3 linked regions of the Macaca mulatta genome follow. The protein of the gene in region 1 purifies or fractionates together with the protein of each later gene. This does not show direct contact. Links are inferred from orthologs where the notes say so. Each region holds a gene or a part of one and is shown on either strand. Other genes may lie near its edges.

Region 1 (4,592 bases):
GAGATATGCAGGAAGAATCAACAGTGCCTGTTGTCCACAATTAATTCTAAATGTGTTCCTGCCATCTTTAGATTGAGTAGATTTATTCTGAAAGCTGGGTATGCCTCCAGGACATCATAAAAAAACTACTCTATTTCAAACACACCAAAAGACTAGATACAGAAGACCGAGTGCTCAGAGTAGGCTTGATATCTGCTTGTGAAGAAGAAAATCGGTCACATCAAGATAGCCACAAGCTCTGCAACCTTCTCAACTTCCTCCCATCCTCCTCCAATTACTTACAAAGATCCATAATGTGGTTCCTGCAGATGGCACAGTTATCAACCACAATATCCCAGGCCCAGAGGGCTACTGCATTCCACTGCAAAGACAAAAAGAGGGAACAATGCATTCTCCTTATAACACACACACAGTTTTTAGGACTTCAGGCTGCAGTTGTAGTTATGATCTCTGGCCACAAGGAACCACCAAACAAAAGGTTTTGGATATTATGTTAATCTTATTATACCAAAGACAACAGTAGACAACACATACGTTCTCCTATTCTCCAAAAGACTGAGTATATGAAGACATAAATGAATGTCATCTTTTGTTTCCTGTAGTTTAAAACAATTTAGTCTGGCCGGACGCAGTGGCTCACGCCCATAATCCTAGCATTTTGGAAGGCTGAGGCGGGTGGATCACCTGAAGTCAGGAGTTCGAGACCAGCCTGGCCAATATGGCGAAACCCCGTCTTTACTAAAAATACAAAAATTAGCCAGGCTTGGTGGCGGGTGTCTATAATGCCAGCTATTTGGGAAGCTAAGGCAGGAGAATCGCTTGAATCTGGGGGACAGAGGTTGCAGTGAGCCGAGATCGTGCCACTGCACTCCAGCCTGGGCGATGGAGTGAGACTCCATCTAAAAAAAAAAAAAAAAAAAAAAGCACAAACTTGAATTTCTGTGCAGGTTTTGGTGGCAGTTGCAGAAGCGCTCAAAATCTGAATAAGTATCTGCTCTTCCAGGCAGCTTTGGAAGCATGAGCAATGAAGTGAAAGCTAGGGAACAGAATGAACTAAGATGATGACTGGATCATAAAACAGGTAATCGTGGGATAAGCTGGATAATTAACTGCCCATGTCAGTACACAGAACAAGGTCATCACTTAAATCTTAGATTACTTCATAACAAATTCTACAATTCACTAGAATTTTGTTCGATTCTTACCATAAAATAAACTGATGTTCTGAACTTTTATATGTTTAGACTCTTCTATTAAGATAATAATTCCAGGCCGGGCGCGGTGGCTCAAGCCTGTAATCCCAGCACTTTGGGAGGCCGAGACGGGCGGATCACGAGTTCAGGAGATCGAGACCATCCTGGCTAACACGGTGAAACCCCGTCTCTACTAAAATACAAAAAAAATTAGCCGGGCGAGGTGGCGGGCGCCTGTACTCCCAGCTACTCGGGAGGCTGAGGCAGGAGAATGGCGTGAACCCGGGAGGTGGGGCTTGCAGTGAGCTGAGATCCGGCCACTGCACTCCAGCCTGGGAAACAGAGCTAGACTCCGTCTCAAAAAAAAAAAAAAAAAAAAAAAAAAGATAATAATTCCAGTAAGAGTTTAATTAAAAGTGGCATTTCATTCATTCAACTCTGGTTTCCTCAATTACAAGTACTCCCAAACCTTCATCGCTTTCAAACCCCAGTCTCAGTGCCTAGTAACTTCTTCACCACTTTTCACATCACAGCTTCAACTTGGAGGAAAAGCCCCTACTTCTATTATTCTTCAATATGGCTGGCTGTAACTGAGCAGCAGTGGCCACAATGAGACACCAAAAAGCACTAGGAGGGGGGGGATATTGTCAGTGTTTAGCCAGATGTTCCAGGAATATCTTCCCTATTTCAGAATCTCCATTTCGAATAGTTTTCATGTTAGGTGGGAATCGACACTTTTCTCCCAAACTGTGGCAAACCACTAAAATGCATTTCATGCAAAAGACACGTTCCATTTTTGCTTTCCCCTCTTACCAAGTCATTCGCAACTAGTACTCAACCCTTCCGAAATGCCACAGGATTTGGGCTCGGATTTTCTTAACAAGTTCCACCGTGCTTTTTATTATTATTTCGGAAGGGGGAGATTCTGAACGTGACAGAGAATCCAAGAGTGGGGTGGTTGTGGGAAAAGCCAACAGACGTCTCAGAACACCCAAGCATTACACTCCAGACTCTAACTCGGCGGTGTGAGGCCCAGAGATGGGGTTAATGGAGGCCTCGGTTCAGCGAGGAACAAGTCTGATCCCTTCAAGTGAGAGGACCCCAAGCAAGCTTCAAAAAGGGGCGGAGCAAGATCACTAGCGGGGCTCCTCAGAGGCCTCCAATGCGGTAGGACCTCAGGTTCCAGGCTTTCGCCGCACTGCCCCATCCTCCACCGCCGCAGTCGCTCTGACTCCCCATTCCACCCACCCCACCCCACCCCACCCCACCCTACCTCACCCCACCCTACCTTCCCCCACCTCTCAACCACTCCAGTGACAGCTCAGGCGCTTGGCTCCCGCCGCCAAGTCGCAACCCCGCGTATCTCAACAAGCAGCTCTGTGATTGGCCCCTCAGCCTCACATCGAAACCAACACTTCCCCTGACAGTGGGCCGCCGTCACGCCGATCAACTCTAAGGCCCGCCCCCCGACTTCCTTTCGTGGTACCCGGTCCCAGGAACGCCCTAAAATGAAACCCTTTACTCCGCGCCTCGACCATCCTCGGGCCTGCCAGCCAGATCCGCGCCTCTCTAGCTTCCCTGAGGAAGGCGCTGGCGAGACCCAACCTTTTTCACTTCAAAGCGCTTCTTGCCCGCGCCGCTGTTGGTGCCGCTCGGGGTATCCACATCCATCGCTGCCGCCATTTTGGAAACACACGGTCTGTCGTCCGACCACCGCGCCTGCGCAGCAGCGCACACCTCGTTCCCCCAGCCTCCCCGGCACCTCCTCCCGCACCCCACCCCTTACTGGCGCGCGTGGGGGAGGTGGGGGCGGAGCACGTGACCACGCCTCTTAAAGGGGCTATCGCAAGTCGCCCCACCCGCGAAGTGTCGGCCGGGGAGGGGGCGGTGGCCGGAGTGGGTGGGGCGGGGCGGGGCCGGGCGGGGCCGAGGCTACGTGAGCTAGCCTGGTAGAAACGTTCGAAAGGGCTCGAGGTCGCCGCCTCCTCTGGGAAGCCCCCGGCCGCACTCCATCAGCTGGGGCGGCGGCTGCTTCCTCCGCCTGAGTCGGACCTGCGCCGCAGTCCTGTCCTGCCTACCGGGCTCGCCCGGTCGCCGCGCGACTCCCATTGCTAGCCGGGGTGGGCGCCCGCCGCCTGCCCCGAAACCTGAGAGCCCTCGCTGGTCTTTCGCAGACTCTGACCCACCTCCGAGCCAGGCCCAAGGCGCAGTCCGCGTGGGAGGGCTGGGGCCCAGGCACCGTCTGGTCTCCGATTTCTGTTCGGGAACTGCTCAGGGATCGATGGGGAGAGAGGAGAGCCCCGAAGGTCCTCCCTAAGGCCAGACTGAGCAGGCCCCCAGTGCTGCCCTCATCCCCCCGCCAAGCCTGGAGGGTGGCCTCTGCGCCCGCTTAGTCGCAGTCCTAGGACCGCCTTTGGTCGTGGTGCGCGGTTTCACCGTGGCGTGTGTCAGTCCCCACTTCTCATTCCTCAGTTGTCATCTTGTGTAGGGTGATTTCTCCCCAGTCTGTGTCCTCTTTCCGCTACTTGTGCTATAGTGAAACCGACCCATCTGCAGTCGCTGTATTTCTTTAATTTTTGTGAAGCATTCTTTTTGGGGTGTTTTTTTGAGACGGAGTTTCGCTCTTGTTGCCCAGGCTGGAGTGCACTGGCGCGATTTCGGCTCACTGCAACCTCCACCTCCCGGGTCCAAGCGATTCTCCTGCCTCAGCCTCCCTAGTAGCTGGGATTACAGGTGTCCGCCACCACGCCCGGCTCTTTTGTATTTTTAGTAGAAACGGGTTTTTACCATGTTGGCCAGGCCGGTCTCGAACTCCTGACCTCAGGTGATCCGCCTGCCTCGGCCTCCCAAAGTGCTGGAATTACAGGCTAGAGCCGATTTTTTTTTGTTTTAAATAGAGACAAGGTCTCACTCTGTTTCCCAGGCTGGTCTCGAACTCCTCGGCTCAAGCGATCCTCCCACTTCGACCTCCCAAAGTGCTAGGATCACAGGAGTGCGCCACCGCGCCCGACCCAAGCACCTGTACTTTGTGTCACTCTCCCTTTTCTCGCTAGACCAGGACTCCCTTTGACATCTCTAACCTTGCAGAGGTATGACTCCGCCAGAGCACTCTTAGATCTCGTACAGGTGATTTGAAGCCTTTTATTTTCTCTTAAAAGATAACTGGAGAGTAATGGAGTGTGCTGACACTATTGCTAAAGAGAAAGAATTGGCCAGGCGCGGTGGCTCACGCCTGTAATCCCAGCATTTTGGAAGGCCGAGGCGGGTCGATCACCTGAGGTCGGAAGTTCGAGACCAGCCTGGCCAACATGGCGAAACTGCATCTCTACTAAAAATACAAAAATTAGCTGGGCGTGGTGGCACGCGCCTGTAGTCCCAGCTACTCGGGAGGCTGAGGCA
Region 2 (3,027 bases), on another chromosome or scaffold:
CTCGGCCTCCCAAAGTGCTGGGATTACAGGCTTGAGCCACTGCGCCCGGCCACCCATCCCTTTCTTTTCTTTTTTTTTTTTTTTTGAGATAGAGTCTCATTCTGTCATTCAGGCTGGCATGCATGATCTTGGCTCACTGCAACTGCAACCTTCACCTCCCAGGTTCAAGCGATTCTCCTGCCTCAGCCTCCTTAGGGGATTATGGGCATGCACCACCACACCCAGCTAATTTTTTTGTATTTTTAGGAGACGGGGTTTCACCATGTTGGCCAGGCTGGTCTCACACTCCTGACGTCAAGTGACATGCCCACCTTGGCCTCCCAACATATTGGGATTACAGGTGTGAGCCACTGCGCCCAGCCATATCCATTACTTCTGAATGGATGCTGAGCAACCTGTCCAAAGGCATACAGCTTGAGATCTAGGCCTCAGCCAGAGACTCAGCAAATAGTATCTGGGTCTCTTCATTTTCCAGTACTGTTTCTTTTAGAGTGAACTGGGAATGAGTCTTCTTCCCATCCACAAATATCAAACACAGAAGATACCTGGTTCAGGGTAGTTTGTAGATAGATTTCTCATAGATTTATTTCTGTGTCATGTTATATATAGATATATGCATATATACCTTTTTTTTAATACAATCTATATACCCTTCCCTTCCCCACCAAACTCACAAAAGGAGATTAAACCCTTCCAGGATTGCCATCAAGCTTCCCAAAATGGCCAGGGCCAAGAAAGACCCATCTCTCAACATGTTACGAAACGGCTGCCATTCTTAGGCTCTGGGGTTGAAGCAGCAGCAATCCCAGGACCCAAGGGCCAGAGAGAGGAAAAGAAACGACTGTAGTGTGACAGGATTCTAGGATGAACATGTCCAGTGACTCCTGGAATGGCAGACTGGCTCCCAGAATTCTCAGGGTGTGAGTAAAGGTGGGGGCCCTACGGCTCTTCAGAGGCTGCTCAATAGGTGGAGGGTAAGGTATAGGAATTGGGGATCAGGCATGCAGGGATGAGGTGGTAGAAAAGACGCCTGTGGGTTATGCTTAAAACACAGCAACCCCTATCAGGGCTACCCACCTACTCAGTGACATTTAATGAACAGGGACAGATGCTGAGCTCTTAAGGAAACAGGGGAGACAGGATGGCAGCGGGGAGTAATGGAACACACAAAGTCACAAAAAACAAAAAGTACCAACAAAAACATAACCTGCATTTGCCTCCTCCCTAGAGAAGGTGTGATCTATGTTTGGGGTTAGGGGAAGTGAAGGGTCATGAACCTAGGATTATCAGCTGGCCAGGGGCACAGGAAGGCTCTCTGAGGACTCCTAAGAGGCAGGCAGGCAGCTGGGACCCCACATCCCCAGGGAGGAAACGACAGTCCTTTCAATTCGACTTGGACCAAATCTTGGCACTCCCTCGGAGCCTGGCAAGGAGAAGAGAGAGAAAGAGAAAGAAAGAGAATGCAGGGAATCCCCTAACCTCTGGAGGTTCCCCCCACTCCCTACTCCCATGCAAGTAACTGAAGGAAATGAGGACAGAGAGGTCCCTGGGGTAAAAGCAGGGCACCCTGGAAGTGAGCAGTTCCTGCTACCCTGGCTCACCCCTTGCCCTTTGAGGCTTTCTTGCTGGGCTGACGCTGGTTGGTGCCAGGAGCTGGTTCCCTCAGCTCAGTCAGGTGTTGCTCAGGGTCCTGAGATGTGGCCGCGGCTGCTGCTGCCGTTGTAACTTTAATGGTTTTTTTAAGGTTGGCAACCTACCAGGATGAAAGGAATGGGGATAGCAAGGAAGGTTCCAGAACCTTCCAGCCCCTGCTCATCTGGTTGTCTGCTACAGCCACTGTCCAAATCCTCTCTGCAAAGGACAGGTGGCCCAGGCTGGGGGAGCTTGGGTCTGCCCGCTCCCCTGACTGCTCACCTCACTCTCAATCTGCTGCTTTAGGCCCAGTTGCTGCTCCTTGTGCTGGTTGGCACGGCTCACCTGCTCCTCAATGCCTGACAGCACAACCTCACAGCCCACACACCTGCGGGAGTCAGGGCAGAGAAGTGTCAGCAGACAAGGACTGCGATCACAGACTCGCAGAAAATGGACTCAAAAAGAACCCTAGAGGCAGGGCGCAGTGGCTCCCCGCCATAATCCCAGCATTTTGGGAGGCCAAGATAGGCAGACTGCTTAAGCTCAGGAGTTCAAGACCGGCCTGAGTGATACGGTAAAAACCCGTCTCCACAAAAAATACAAAAATTAGCCGGATGTGGTGGCACGAGCCTGTAGTCCCATGCTACTCGAGGGACTGAGGTGGAGGGTGGCTTGAGCCCTGGAGGTTGGAGGCTGCAGTGAGTCAAGCTGGTGCCACTGCACTCCAACCTGAGCAACAGAGCCAGAACACAGCTTCAGGCATTTTGAGTCTGAGTTGGGAACCCTCACCAGGGCACCTAGAAACTACCTGTGATAACACTCCTAGCAGTGGGATGGACACTCAGTGTGGTCAGAGAGCGATAAGGAAGTACCTGGAGTAATGTGCAAGATGGGAGTAGGAACTAAAAACAAAATAGGGCAGGAGATGCTAAAGAGCAAAAGAGGTGACTTAATGAATACAGAAACCCTGAAGTTAGATGGGGACACAAAGAAAATAAAAAAGAGGAAAAGGTCCATGGCCTGTGGACAATGGTAGTTATAGACCAATCAACAGAATCCAGCCTAAGATAGGCGACCAACCTTACTGGTTAGGATCCCCTCAGTTGTACCACTCCCTTTCCCTCCCCCAATTGCTGTATCAAGGACGCTGACTTCTGCCGCCTCCCAAGGTCTCCCCACTCCTGCATTCCCCAGAAGCCTTTGGAGGGATAAATTCATTTCCCTTCATCCTCCTGGGTTCCACCTCTACAGACCAGCCCAGCTCTTGCCCTCTCTCACCCTGAAGCGCCTTTCTCCTTCTCAGGGTGACAAGGAAGGGGACAGTGCCAGGATACGGTTCTCACCATTCCTGCAGGGTTCGGGCAATGGCATTGAGGTCCTGGCGCTGGATGTCCC
Region 3 (3,838 bases), on another chromosome or scaffold:
AATAGTTGTATGAAAGCACCAACCACCTTAGGAAGCTGCCAGCATTCATATCTACTTTCCAGACCCTCGTCCCTCCTCCCCACTCACCTGCTCTGCTTGCTTGTTCATGGCTTTCCTGTGCTCTGCCATTGCTCAGGTGAGTGAGCAGTTCGCCCGGCACATTGACCAGCAGATCCAGGGCAGCCGGATTGGTGGAGCCCAGGAAATGGAGAGGCTGGCACAGCTGCAGCAGTGCCTGCAAGCTGTCCTGATTTTCTCCGGCCTGGAGATAGCCACCACCTTTGAGCATTATTACCAGTGAGTGTGGACCTAAGGAGCGGGAGCTGGCGGGAGGCAGGATGATGGTGGAAGAGCCAGCTCATGGGCCTGGAAGTCTGGGATAGAGCCAGGCTGGAGCCTTGGAGTGGGAGGCTGGGCCACACTGGTGCCCACACTGAGGCTTGGCCCGGGCTGCATGCACTGTAGGCACTACATGGCGGACCGTCTCCTGGGCGTGGTCTCGAGCTGGCTGGAGGGGGCCGTGCTGGAGCAGATTGGTCCCTGCTTCCCCAACCGCCTCCCCCAGCAGATGTTGCAGAGCCTGAGCACCTCTAAGGAGCTACAGCGCCAGTTCCACGTCTACCAGCTCCAGCGGCTGGATCAGGAACTCCTAAAGCTGGAGGATACAGAGAAGAAAATACAGGTGAGTGCCTTGGAAGGGATGAGCAAATGAGAAGGTAGGGGGAAGATGGGCATGAAGCAGACTGGAGGAGGCCATGGCATCTGGGAACCCTGTGCTCCTTCAGGTGGGCCATAGGGACAGTGGCAAGGAGTATAAGAGCGAGAAGGAAGAGGGAGCTGGGGCAGCAGCAGCGGTGGATGTGACAGAGGGAGAGGAGGAAGAGGAGGAGAATGAGGACCTCTACTATGAAGGGGCAATGCCAGAAGTGTCTGTGCTTGTCCTGTCCCGACACTGCTGGCCTGTTGCCTCAATCTGCCACACACTGAACCCCAGAACCTGCCTGCCCTCCTACCTGAGGGGCACTTTGAACAGATACTCCAACTTCTACAACAAGAGTGAGTAGCCAGGCAGAGGGGACTGGGGAGAGGGTGGGCTGCTAGGAAAGGACCTGGGGTTGGGGGCAGACCCTGATGTTGGGAGGCTTGATGTGAAAAGAGATGGTCTGTAGCTGGGCACAGGGCTCACGCCTGTAATCCCAACACTTTGGGAGGCCGAGGTGGGTGGATCACTTGAGGTCAGGAGTTCGAGACCAGCCTAGCCAACATGGTGAAACCTCGTCTCTACTAAAAATACAAAAATTAGCTGAGTGTGGTGGTGCATGCCTGTAGTCCCAGCTACTCGGGAGGCTGAGGCAGGAGAATCACTTCAACCCACAAGCGGAGGTTGCAGTGAGCCAAGATCGTGCCACTACACTCTAGCCTGGGTGACAGTGAGACTCCATCTCAAAAAAATAAAAAAAAAGAGTTGGTCTTTTAATTTAATTTTTAAATTTTTGTTTTTATAGATTCAGGGAGAGAGAGTCTTTAGGGATAAGAATTCCCTAGGCCATGGGAAAAATAGTGGTTTTGAGAAGAAAGGGCAGGAGCTTGGTGGCTGAGGGTGGCAGGTGCTGTCAGATACCTGATCCCCAGATCATTGTCTTTTCTGTTTTAAAATAAGACCTGGGAATCTCTTTGTGGGTGACAGGGAGGATGGAGGCAGGAGGCACCTGAGGCCACCAGGAAGGAGTGTCTGGCTCCTTCCTGGTCAGTCACCTGTCATCCTAAACTACCCACTGGGGCTGATCCCTGAGCTGGCAGCAACACAGGAGGGGGAAGAGGCTCAGACCTGTGGTCAGGGAGCCCCCTAATAGGGGAGACATTGTTTACTGTCACAATATTCCAGCTTGGTAAGAGCCCCAGTTCTTCCTCCCTTCATGGTTTTGTCTCCCTAAAAACACACGGGGCAATCCTCGAAGGCACTGATGAGAACCTGCCTGGCACCAGGCTAGGCATAGGATAGCTCCCAGATACCTGAGGCTCGCCATGGAGGCAGGCCCAGAGAAGGCCGAGATCTGGAAGCTCAGACCAGGAGCTCCAGTGTCCATAAATGCTGGGGTCACACGCCCTGTAGAGATCAACAGAGCTTGACCAGCATGCACCCTCCCTCCAACACCAACTCCCTCCTTTCCCCTGCTCTTTGTCTCCCTCCCCCTTCCTGGTACCTCACCAGGTCAGAGCCATCCTGCCCTCGAGCAAGGCTCACAGAGGCGACTGCAGTGGACGTGGCTGGGCTGGGCTGAGCTGCAGTTTGGGAACCAGACCCTGCATGTGTCCACTGTGCAGATGTGGCTACTGCTGTATCTCAACGACCTGAAGGTGGTCCAGCCCTGCTGTACCTTTCTCCTGTCTCCCACTTTGTCCCGTGCCTCTCTTCCTGAAACCTTGACTCCCTCTGCTTCTTCCCTCTATCCTCTTCTCTCCACTCCTTGGGGAGGCCCTGAATGTCTCCCATCTGTTCTCTGAAGGCGGTCTCTGTGGAGAGTCTGCTGGCGCTCTCAGGGCTCTCCGAAGACATGCTTAATGAGGCGATTGGGCCCCTCACCTCTTCAAGAGGCCCCCTGGACCTTCATGAGCAAAAGGATATACCAGGAGGTATGCACTTAGGGCCAGAGGGGCCTCTGCTCTGAGGCAGGGCCGGGCTTCTCATGGGCTCTCCACTGAGTGAGTGATCGGTGTTTATTTCAGGGGTCCTCAAGATTCGAGATGGCAGCAAGGAACCCAGGTCGAGATGGGACATTGTGCGGCTCATCCCACCTCAGACATACCTGCAAGCTGAGGGTGAAGAGGGCCGGAACTTGGAGAAGAGACGGAATCTTCTGAACTGCCTCATCGTCCGAATCCTCAAGGCCCATGGGGATGAGGGGCTGCACATTGACCAGCTTGTCTGTCTGGTAGGCAGGGGTGGGCACAGTGGGTGATGGATCTTTGCTGGGGTTGGGGGAGCAGTCTACAGAACAAGGTGGGTCCACGTGTGGTGAAGCACGTGGTTCACTATGTAGCCTGTAGGAGTGTGAGGCGTGAAGTCAGGATGTACCTGGTGTCCTTGGGGCATCCTGTCCTAGCAGCCTGTGGTTGGAGTGGAAGCTCAAGCAAGGATGGGTCAGCTGCCTCTAACCTACCACTTGTCCCTTCCTCCCCGACACCAGGTGCTGGAGGCTTGGCAGAAGGGCCCATGTCCTCCCAGGGGTTTGGTCAGCAGCCTTGGTAGGGGGTCTGCCTGCAGCAGCACTGACGTCCTCTCCTGCATCCTGCACCTCCTGGGCAAGGGCACGCTGAGACGCCATGATGACCGGCCGCAGGTGCTGACCTATGCAGTCCCTGTGACTGTCATGGAGCCTCACACCGAGTCCCTGAACCCAGGCTCCTCAGGCCCCAACCCACCCCTCACCTTCCATACCCTGCAGATTCGCTCCCGGGGTGTGCCCTATGCCTCCTGCACTGCCACCCAGAGCTTCTCTACCTTCCGGTAGCCCTGGACTTGGGGTCAGGGGAAGATAGAGCTGGAGCTTTTACAGAAATAAAACCTGAGAGTTTGATTATATGATGTGTGTTTGGCAACTGCTAGAGATTTGAGCTGGGAGGTGGCGGGGGCTTTCCCGGCTGGTGAGGAAGGAGCCTTTGGCACTGAGTCTGTTGCATGATATGCCAAGGGTCTTGTTAGGGTGAGGATGGTAGACTGGGAGAAAGGCAGAGGGAGTCAGGTACGATTTAGCACCCCCTCTAGGCAGAGAGATTGAGGGGACTAGGCAGGATGATGGCACTCAGCCCCTTCTCAGAGGGTGTGTGGTCAGAAGTG

What was found. Proteins that work in one complex are often made in the same cells at the same time.
Region 2: the proteins of RBX1 (region 1) and COPS7A purify together in Homo sapiens (affinity purification with mass spectrometry; 3 studies listed by BioGRID and IntAct, with this or other methods). This does not show direct contact. The link is inferred for Macaca mulatta from reciprocal best matches to the Homo sapiens genes RBX1 and COPS7A.
Region 3: the proteins of RBX1 (region 1) and CUL7 purify together in Homo sapiens (affinity purification with mass spectrometry; 9 studies listed by BioGRID and IntAct, with this or other methods). This does not show direct contact. The link is inferred for Macaca mulatta from reciprocal best matches to the Homo sapiens genes RBX1 and CUL7.

The regions. Positions count from the first base shown.
Region 1 is NC_133415.1:10,578,528-10,583,119, forward strand, and holds the start of RBX1 (E3 ubiquitin-protein ligase RBX1), read right to left. Parts: upstream 2,898-4,592; 5' UTR 2,877-2,897; coding exon 2,799-2,876; intron 362-2,798; coding exon 283-361; intron 1-282. UniProt on the Homo sapiens protein: E3 ubiquitin ligase component of multiple cullin-RING-based E3 ubiquitin-protein ligase (CRLs) complexes which mediate the ubiquitination and subsequent proteasomal degradation of target proteins, including proteins involved in cell cycle progression, signal transduction, transcription and transcription-coupled nucleotide excision repair.
Region 2 is NC_133416.1:7,685,679-7,688,705, reverse strand, and holds the end of COPS7A (COP9 signalosome complex subunit 7a), read right to left. Parts: coding exon 2,976-3,027; intron 2,021-2,975; coding exon 1,915-2,020; intron 1,754-1,914; coding exon 1,602-1,753; intron 1,424-1,601; coding exon 1,384-1,423; 3' UTR 764-1,383; downstream 1-763.
Region 3 is NC_133409.1:139,089,113-139,092,950, forward strand, and holds the end of CUL7 (cullin-7), read left to right. Parts: intron 1-136; coding exon 137-297; intron 298-465; coding exon 466-682; intron 683-785; coding exon 786-1,056; intron 1,057-2,212; coding exon 2,213-2,358; intron 2,359-2,507; coding exon 2,508-2,634; intron 2,635-2,727; coding exon 2,728-2,933; intron 2,934-3,188; coding exon 3,189-3,512; 3' UTR 3,513-3,581; downstream 3,582-3,838. UniProt on the Homo sapiens protein: Core component of the 3M and Cul7-RING(FBXW8) complexes, which mediate the ubiquitination and subsequent proteasomal degradation of target proteins. Core component of the 3M complex, a complex required to regulate microtubule dynamics and genome integrity.